Caenorhabditis elegans: one gene and its partner. The protein of the gene in region 1 interacts with the protein of each later gene in a pairwise test. Each region holds a gene or a part of one and is shown on either strand. Other genes may lie near its edges.

Region 1 (3,714 bases):
GTGTAAGTTTTACATAAGTAATTGGAGAATCCGAGTTCATGATTAATTTCAGGAGTCTATTCCGGATGTGGATTCAGCTTTAGAGCCGACTCGCGATAAGCTTAGACCTGTCGCAAAAGAGCAGCTCATCGAAGCCGAGGAAGATCAGGCTTTCTTGAAGAAGTTGATGGACATCCTGGCAACTTCAACCACTACGGCCGCTCCCAAGCCGAGGACTATGCAAGAAGAGCCTACCGATAAGGACAGTCCACTCGCCAATTTCTTCTCCAACTTGCTCAATAAGGTAAATCAATCTTAGATCTTTTTTCTATGTGAATTTCCATATTTCAGGACAAGCCGAGCAAGGTGAGCTCTCCTTCCACTGTTTCCCAGCCGATGGATGCCGCAGCCACCCAGGCCCAACTCGATCGTCTTCTGAAGTCTGCGCAAAGCCCGAAACCTCAACCCCGGGACAGTGATGCATAACGTCATTTTCATAATCTATTTAAATATTTTAAGCTTTATCGCCGGTCATTTTATTCTCCTTTGCGATACGATTTTTATTATATGCTGTTTCTGTAAATACCCACACAACCATAATGTAGTTCGTTTCAAGTTTATGATTACACAAAAGTAGAATAATATAATACGCGGGGACAGAGATCACTTGGGTTTAGAAGCATTAGTAAGGTAAATGTCCATGAAAGCGGCGACGAATCCTTCAAGATGGAAAATTGCTTTTTGTCCGAGAACAAGGCGATGCTCGAATTTCGCTGCTTCACTGACAACTTCACGTGCAATTTGTGGCGGACATTTGGGAAGGAGATGCTCGAGAAGTTTCTGAAAATGTATTTCTAAATATTTTTGAACATTTTATACTATTTGTGTGCTTATAACTCACCTTAAAAATGACAGTTGGTGGAATACATCTGGAGAGCAATTCGTACAATCGTTCGCGAACTTTCAGAAGCATATCGGAGCTCTGTTTCTGGAGGATCAGACGAGCAGTCTCTTGGATATAAATCTCCCATTCCGGAACCGGAATTACTACACTTTCAGCCACACCACTCTCGTTCTCCATTCTTAAAGCCTCAGTCATCAGAATAGCTCTTCTCAGATTTCCTTCAGACTTCTCCACAATCTTTTGCAAAACGTTCTCCGGAAGTAGAAAGCTCTCCCGTTCAATCACTTTCCGCAAGACTTTGGTCACATCTTCATCGGTTGGAGCTGGCACATTGATGATGATGCAACGAGATTGAAGTGGCTCAATGATACGGGACAGGGATTCACAGCTCAAAACGATTTTACAGTTATTCGCGTACTTCTCCATAGTTCGACGAAGTCCGTGTTGAGCATCACGAGTCAGTGAGTCCGCTTCACAAAGAACGACAACTTTGAACGATCTTTGAGAAGTTGATTCGATTTGAGACGTTTGTGCCATTTCTTTAACGAGATCCTGCACAACAACTCGATCATAGATTCCAACATCAGACGGCGTCATTTCGATGTGATAATTGCTCGAGACAGTCTGTATTTCAAGTTTTTTATTCGACGGACTAGTGAACGACTTCATGATGAGCTGCGTTTTCTCGACTCCAACACCGTAAAGCTCTCTGAAAAATATTATTTTATTTACTGAATTTACCAATAATTAAACCTCAACAGACACTTGATCCGTGTCTTTTTTCCAGCTCCACTGGGACCACAGAACAAGAGATGCGGCATACAGTCTGCGGAGAGAAACTTCAAATGATTGGCCTGCTCGATGTGATAATCAACGCCATCCTTTCCCAACAAGTCCTTTGGTCGATATTTGTCCACCCACAACGCCATTTTTGCACTAGAAAAGATTAATATTATATTGTCAGAGTAATTAAAGTCCAAAATAAGCGCGAGAAATAGAAGGTGGAACCCGAAAAGTAATTCCGCGGCACGCGCTTTTATGGTAAATTAAAAAATTAAACCGTGCCGCGAATTGCGCTTCGGGAATCCGGATCCACCGTATATTTCTTGCTAAAAAAATTAAAAGACATATTCAAAGATATCACAATTGTCGCAAACAATTGAATAGAGGAATAAATAAATAGAAAATAAATAAAGAGAATTGTAATAAATTAAAAGAATTCATTTTCAGAAACTCGACAAGTCAACAACGAAATATTTTACAGGTTTAGCCTAGTGAGACGAGTGAGTGAAGATAAATAAGAAAATAATTGAGATATCTACTTGATATTCATTTTACGCTTGAGTGCGATAATGTCGTCACGGCGCTTCTTGTTCTCCACTTGTTGTTTCTCGAGGTTCGTGGCAGCTCTTCCGGGGATTAATCCTTCCTCCAGTGCCAAAGTGAACTCGCGATCCGTCAATTGAGTCGTGTCGACGAACACTTTTCTCGTAGAGTGTGGTGTGTAACCAGCACGTCGTGGAACTAAAAATTGCTATGAATTAGCGAAAAAAAGATAAATATGAATAGTTACCTCTAGTTGGAGTGGTTCCTTTTGGCGTGGAAATGTACTCGGTGAATGTATCATCTTCTGGGACAGTTGCAGGAATGATTTTTCGAGAAGTTAAACGGCATGGTTTCGGGATTTGTGACTTGGTGAGCTTCTTCACGTCCACATGAGATCTTGCAACGGACTTTGTCTTTTTGGTAGAGGTGGTGGCAGCAGATGACGATGAGCAGCCAGCTCGTGAGCTGACAAGAGCGGGAAAATCATCAGCAGATTTATCCCCGAATTGGAAGGACATTTTCTCAGGATCCTGAACTTGCCAATTGCGCGCAGCAGATCTTGTAGTTGATCTATCAACTGGGTCACGTCTTGGCACACTTTTCGGGGTAGCAAGTCTCCTGATAGCTTCTGGGACGTCGCCGGTCATGAATTCGTGTCGTTTCTTCAATCGTTCTTGACGCTCTCCGAGTGTTTCTTCTTTTTCCATCTCTCTTGCATGAATCATTGCGAATCTGTCTCTTCCACTGGATGGAGCACGCTGACGAACTGGCGTAATTCCTCTGTTCTCGATCGGCATTCCTGGTCGCTCAGATGTTTGAGGAGTCGACGAACTAGCGCGGAGAGACAGTCTTGTCGAAAGACGATGAACTCTCGGGCGTGACTTCACCTCGAAGCTTTGCAGATCGATTCCCAAACTGCCACAGAGACGGTTTCTCAAGTCATCATCCAAAACGACAGCAACCGCATTTGTCGGAGTATTCTCGTCTGTAATAAAGCTGTTTAAATTTCAACTAAATGGAATATAACTTACGAACAAATCTGCCAGTAGTATTCTCAGTTTCTTCTTCCTCTTCAACTGTGAATGTGCGATTGGCAGGTGCTTCGTCGGTGTCCATAGCCTCGGCTTCCGGCTCTTCCCTGATTGCCTCCCCGTTTCCGGCATTATTTTGGCCAGCGAGAAACTGAAAAAGTTAAATTAATCACATTGTTTCGACTGAGTTCAAACCTCCAAAAGACGCGATTGAAGTTCCGATTTCTTTCCCGCAGTCGAAGCCCTTTTCTTCTTTAACTCCTTGCGAAGCTTGTCGCATGTCATGTTGAGCACGTCCTCTTCGGCGAGCTCTTTATTTTTGGCTGACATTTTACTGAAATTATTATTTTTATTGAATAGTGAGAACAGAAAAGCAAATGAAACAAGGAACAAATGAACAAGAAACAAAATAGGACTCAAGAAATTTCCCTCCATCGCTGTTTGAAAAATTGTGTTTTTCGCGCGGTGTACGTT
Region 2 (5,499 bases), on another chromosome or scaffold:
ATCAGGTTGTCACATCACGGTTTGATCTACAAAAAAATGCGGGAATCTTTTGCCCAAAAAATGTGACGTCGGCACGTTTTTAACCATGCAAAATTAGTTGAGAACTCTGCGTCTCTTCTCCCGCATTTATGTAGATCTACGACGTTTTCTACGTAGATCAAACCAATATGGGACACTTTGACACCACGTGCACTCCATTACCACATTTTCTATGTTACAATCCCTCCCGATGCTTTCACAATTGCTGGTCCAATTCCCTACGATTTCATTCCTTTTTATGAAAGACCACTATATCGCGAAATTTCGTGGTTCATCCAGTTTTCACAACGATTCTATTGTCTTCAATTTAGTCAGAGTTGATTTCTCTTTCAATGCGAACTAACTTGACAAATATAGAAAACAGTTGTGAATATCTCAATGATCTTGAACGAAATTTTCAACATTTTTGGCAAAACCATAATACGTTGTCCTCCTGGTGCAAAATGACTAAAATTAAATTGTTTCATCGTGCTCAAATAAATCGTTGTAACATGATTTTTTATCCAGTTTTTAATAGTTTTCCTGCAAGAATATCTGCTTTGTCGAAATAGTGATCATTCAAGAGGGTTTATTGCAAGTTTACGGTAATAGTTAGAATAATACTGGACATCTATAATCATTTCTTGCTTCCTCTTCCTCCACGAGCCCGACCACCACCACGTCCACCTCGAGCAGATTTTGAAGCTCCGGCACCTCCACCAGTCCTAACTTTAATAACAACATCAGTAGTTTTCTCCTCGTTATCCTCATTATCGGATTCTCCATCTTCATCTTCAAATTTCTCCACTAGATTTCCTTCTTCGTCCATTTCAATTCCAATTGAATTCACACCTCGTTTCTTTCCTTTTGACACAGAATCCATCGAGTATGGAAGCATTCGACCAGTCTTGTTTAGAGTTCTAGTCAATGATGCTTTCACCTTACTCAAAATTTTACTAGCCGGATCAATTTTTCCAGGCCAAGCAACAATTTCTGTGAGTGCTTCAGTGTCGTCTTTGATGAGATCGTATTCTGTCATTGTGCTGATCACATCTGGAATTCCATCAGCTTCATGTTCAAGAAGTGGTTTCGTTATTTTCTGACGGAGCATTGGAGCATAATCAGTGGCAAATGAGTGAGTACCAGCAGAAACTCTGAAAGTAATAAATAAATTCCTAATTCCCATAATGAATTTAGCGTAACTTACTTGAGATGTGTGTGTTGAACCAGTTGCTGAAGCAATCTCTTCCGTTTTCCAGCTGTCGAGTTTTTTCCCAACCACGATGGGAACTGAATCATTGCCTTCAAATGTCCACCAGTGGCAATCGCTGGAAGTGCAGCAGAAATCATGCTCTGCTCATTGAGCAACTTCCAGGATCCTCCACCACGAATTTGCCGATCAATAAGGTCTCCAAGGGAAATGAAGTCTGCAGCTTTTCGTATTCCACGGATCGCTTGGATTGGACTATGCTTTTCATTTTTCATATTGAGATAATTATCCTGGACGAAAAGTGGCATGATTCCATAGTCAGTGAAGAACATTTCCTGCTTTTCCATTAATGTCGTACGAGAATCCAGGAGACGACGAGCCGCCGAGAATGCATCCTGAAAATGTTGTTAAGATTTCAGAATTTGTATAACCAGGCGCAAGTTTCGTATCGAGACCAAGTACCCCATTTTTGGCGCGAAAATCGCAAAATTTCACGGCTAGGAGACCTACCACAGCCATATCCTTCTGGTTGATCTTTGCTCCAACTCCCTTTGACCTCATTTGCAGGTTGTAAATTGTTTGCCGGACGTCATGACCGGATAACTCGATAATTTCGTCCAATTCTTCTTTGCCAATTTTCATTTTTTCCTGAGAACAGATGGTCATCATCCGAGAACGAATAGTCTCGACACGTGGCTTTGGAAAACGAAGATCATAGCAATAGTTGGCCAGTGTACGAATTTTCGGATGCTGCCGGTCATTACAAATGCAAATAATTGGAATTTTAGACTCCTTGATAATTTGGATGAGCTCAGAGATCTGTAAAAATAAACATTTGAATATTAATATATTAGTTCTTCATTTAAACTCACACCAGCTCGATCCTCATTTCCAGACATTCCGTCGACTTCATCCATAATCAGGATATGATGAACCTTTTGATTATCTTGTGGAGCACACTTTTTCGCTCCGAAAAACTGCTCAATTTGATGAGAACCAGAGAGTTCGCCAATTTTCGCTTCGAGATGTTTCTTACTACGCACATCTGATGCATTCATTTCGACAAGTTGAAGGCCCAGTTGTTGACAAGCCATATAGGCGCATGTAGTCTTTCCAACTCCAGGAGAACCCGATAAAAGAGCTGCTTTGAATGATGTACCATCTTGAGATGACATCCATGGAGCTGGTTTTGCTGAAAATTGCCGATAATATTATAATAAAATAGAAATAAAATTACTTACGCTTCTTAATTTTTGCCCCTTCGCCAAGATTGTGTTTTGCCCAGTCTTTAATCCATTCCAAAAGCTTATTAATTGGGCTTTTGTCTCCATTCTGGCCAACAAGTTCTCCCATCCTTTTCGGCTTATACTTATCAACCCATGAAAGTGCTGGGGGTGGCCCACTTGGTTTCGGTTGAAAAACGACTGATGACGTGGAAACTTGACTCGACGAAGATGACTCGGAGGTTACTTTCGGTGGATCTTTTTTCACTGATAACGCCTTTTTCTGTGGAGTTTCTTTTTCTTTTTTGACAGGAATTGATTGCTTCTTTGGGAATTCTTTTTTGACAGAAGGAAGCTCTTTCTTTTTCGGGGTCTCCTTTCTCTTTTCAGGTGTCTTCTTTTTCACAGTAATAGGAGTGAACGTGTCAAAACTATCATCAGAATCTACGAACTCATCGTCCGACACTTTCTTTGTTTTAGTGTTTTCTTTGGTCGACGGGCTGATCTCCACTGGCTTCTTAGCTGGCGTTTTTGGTTTTTCAACAGTTTTCGGAGCAACTTTTGGAAGTTTTGATGCAGATGGCGCTGGTGAGTTTTTGAAGAAGTCTGCGGGATTCACTAATGTTTTTTCGACTTTTTTCTTAGGATCATCACGTTTCGAAGATGACGAAGAAGGTTTGAACATATAATCCAGCGTTTTTTGACCAACTGGTAACTCCTTTTTTCCACCCTTTCTTTTCTTTTTTTCATCAGTTCCGCGCACGAGCTCGTCTTCGTCAGAGGTTATCTAAAAGCTAATTATTGCGATATTTCATGGATATTAGAGTGCTTTCTCACATCGCTCTCTTCTTTTTCTTGCTTTCTCGATCTTTTTGGTGCAGTCTTTTTTTGAGGTGCATTTTCTTCTTCTTCGTCGTCATCGGTTAGTACTACTGGCTTTGTCTGAAACATTTCTCAATGAGGGTTCAGTTCACATGAATTTCCGAACCCTTTTTTTCGCCGGTGTCGCTGCCTTCTTTTGCTTTTCCTGGGTGAATGGCATATCATCATCGGAATCTTAAAAAAAGAAATTTCGTAATACACATTTGCACAGAATGCAATTTGTTTTTTACCCGAAGAAACCACAATCTTTCTTTTTGTACTCATTTCCTTTTTTGAGGCGATCTTCCGTAAATGTCGAGGGATTGGATTCTCTCCGTCGGCTTAAAAAATATAATTTTTGTTGGGGATTAAAAACTATAGAAAGGCTTACAAAAATCGCCAAAATCTGGGTGTATTTTCGTAATTTTCGGTTTCGAAAAAACGATCGAAAAGCAGGAACAATCTTGAGGAGCCAAAATGAAAAAGAATGAAAAAAAAAGTTTTAAAATTTAAAAAACTGAGCGGGAAAAGCAAATTCCAACAGAGCGTATTTGCATTTTTGAAATCGTGCCGAGGCCTTATTCGGCTTATTCGTAATGTCCCTTTAATTTCTACAGTATGAAAATTGCAATTTATTTTTCATAAATTTTTAAGATTCCTTGCTATTTTCCGTTCAAGAAATTCGTTACATATCTTCCCGATTTTTTGTTGATAAAAAATTAAATTCTCGTCTTATTTCAACTCAAAGATCCTATATAAAACTGATAATTCTCCTCGCACGAATCACGTTATAAATCTGAATATAAAATTCTGAATATCAAAGGGTCCTCATCTTTCCCCCAAAAAGTGCCCAATGCTTCCCCGCCCATCATTTTTTTCTTCATCGTCTGCGTTTGCAATCTCTCTTTCCGCTTGCCTCACTTTCTCCTGTCCCCCACTCTCCTCGTTACACTGTGTGCGGACGCAAATGTATTTGCGTGTACAGCTGACCGAACTTATTCCTGCAAAACCGTCGAAAACTGAAGCTTTTTCTCAAAATATTCGAATCATTATAGTCTGTTTATTTATGTTTGGAACATAAAATTGTAATAATTTATGCCGAAAGCTTCATTTTCTGTTTTTTTTTCTGTAAAACTGAATTGTTATCAATGCACAAAAACTCAGCAGCACCTTGAATAGCTTTTGTTTTTTAGTTTTGTTTTGATCGTCGTTATCTCTATTGTTATTGTAAATATAAATTATGTTTTTGCATGTTCACTCACAGCCAGCTCTTTCCAGATTGCACATCCCGCATGGAGTCGGATCAAGAAATTCAACTGGAAGAAGTACGAACAGAAAAAGGTGATAATCATTATCCATTTCTGTTCTTCATTGTCCACGTCTCTGTGCTCATTTCTTTGTGCTCTTTTCAACGCCTTTATCGACCTCATTTGGTTTGAATGGGATGGTATGGCCGGCCTACGTTTCTTTTCTTTTTTGTTTCGGATTTGAATGGTGTTTGGTTGTCTTAAATATTCTCCTTGAAACATTTTAAATTCCAGAAAAATGCTTTGTTTTTTGCTCCGGTTGATCTCAGTAGAATTGTCCAGTCATAAAAAAAGCTTCAAGTTTGTCTAAAATCTCCACTGAAATTCACTATTTTTCTTGAATTCAACTCCACTCCTCCTCTTCTTAATGTCTATTTCTGGGGCATCTTCTGAAAAAAGCCTTCCTAATCACAAAATTTCAGGTCGCAAAAACGCCTCGGCCCAAAATCCGGTCAAAATGGCCAGATTGGCCCTCGACTTCCTCTTCTTTCGGAGGTTCTGGCGTCTTCTTAAAATCCTGTTTCCATGTCATCGTCGATCGATAACCGCGTGGCTCGCCGGAGCACTGCTCATCGCAACTGCTCTCGATCAAGTAATGACGTATTTAGTTGGAATCCAGCCAAGTCTGTTCTACGTGGCACTGGGAAACAAGGATGCTGACACGTTTAAAATTCTGTGTGCACGGGGAGCCGCGATTATTCTTGGAAAAGCTTTTGTAAGATCGAAATTCGATATTTTCTCATCCTAATTAGCGTTTAATTTCAGACATTAGCAGTATTCAAATATCTTACAAATATGTTAGCGATCAAAAGTCGTCAAGTATGTAATCTCACGATGCATAGGTTATATTTCAAGAGACAAGCTTTCTTCAAGCTATCTT

What was found. Proteins that work in one complex are often made in the same cells at the same time.
Region 2: the proteins of rfc-3 (region 1) and rfc-1 interact in a two-hybrid assay, tested with the Caenorhabditis elegans proteins (3 studies listed by BioGRID).

The regions. Positions count from the first base shown.
Region 1 is NC_003282.8:13,093,867-13,097,580, reverse strand, and holds rfc-3 (Replication factor C subunit 3), read right to left. Parts: upstream 1,820-3,714; 5' UTR 1,813-1,819; coding exon 1,637-1,812; intron 1,593-1,636; coding exon 881-1,592; intron 820-880; coding exon 643-819; 3' UTR 501-642; downstream 1-500. Other genes in the region: dli-1 (Dynein light intermediate chain), read left to right, coding at 1-2, 53-283, 331-465; C39E9.12 (SAP domain-containing protein), read right to left, coding at 2,202-2,407, 2,457-3,194, 3,241-3,391, 3,436-3,570.
Region 2 is NC_003283.11:14,642,149-14,647,647, forward strand, and holds rfc-1 (Replication factor C subunit 1), read right to left. Parts: upstream 3,832-5,499; 5' UTR 3,704-3,831; intron 3,654-3,703; 5' UTR 3,598-3,653; coding exon 3,564-3,597; intron 3,508-3,563; coding exon 3,440-3,507; intron 3,394-3,439; coding exon 3,289-3,393; intron 3,246-3,288; exon of another isoform or gene 3,239-3,245; coding exon 2,470-3,238; intron 2,421-2,469; coding exon 2,101-2,420; intron 2,048-2,100; coding exon 1,739-2,047; intron 1,624-1,738; coding exon 1,226-1,623; intron 1,173-1,225; coding exon 656-1,172; 3' UTR 519-655; downstream 1-518. Other genes in the region: pmp-3 (ATP-binding cassette sub-family D member 4), read left to right, coding at 4,605-4,653, 5,042-5,334, 5,385-5,499.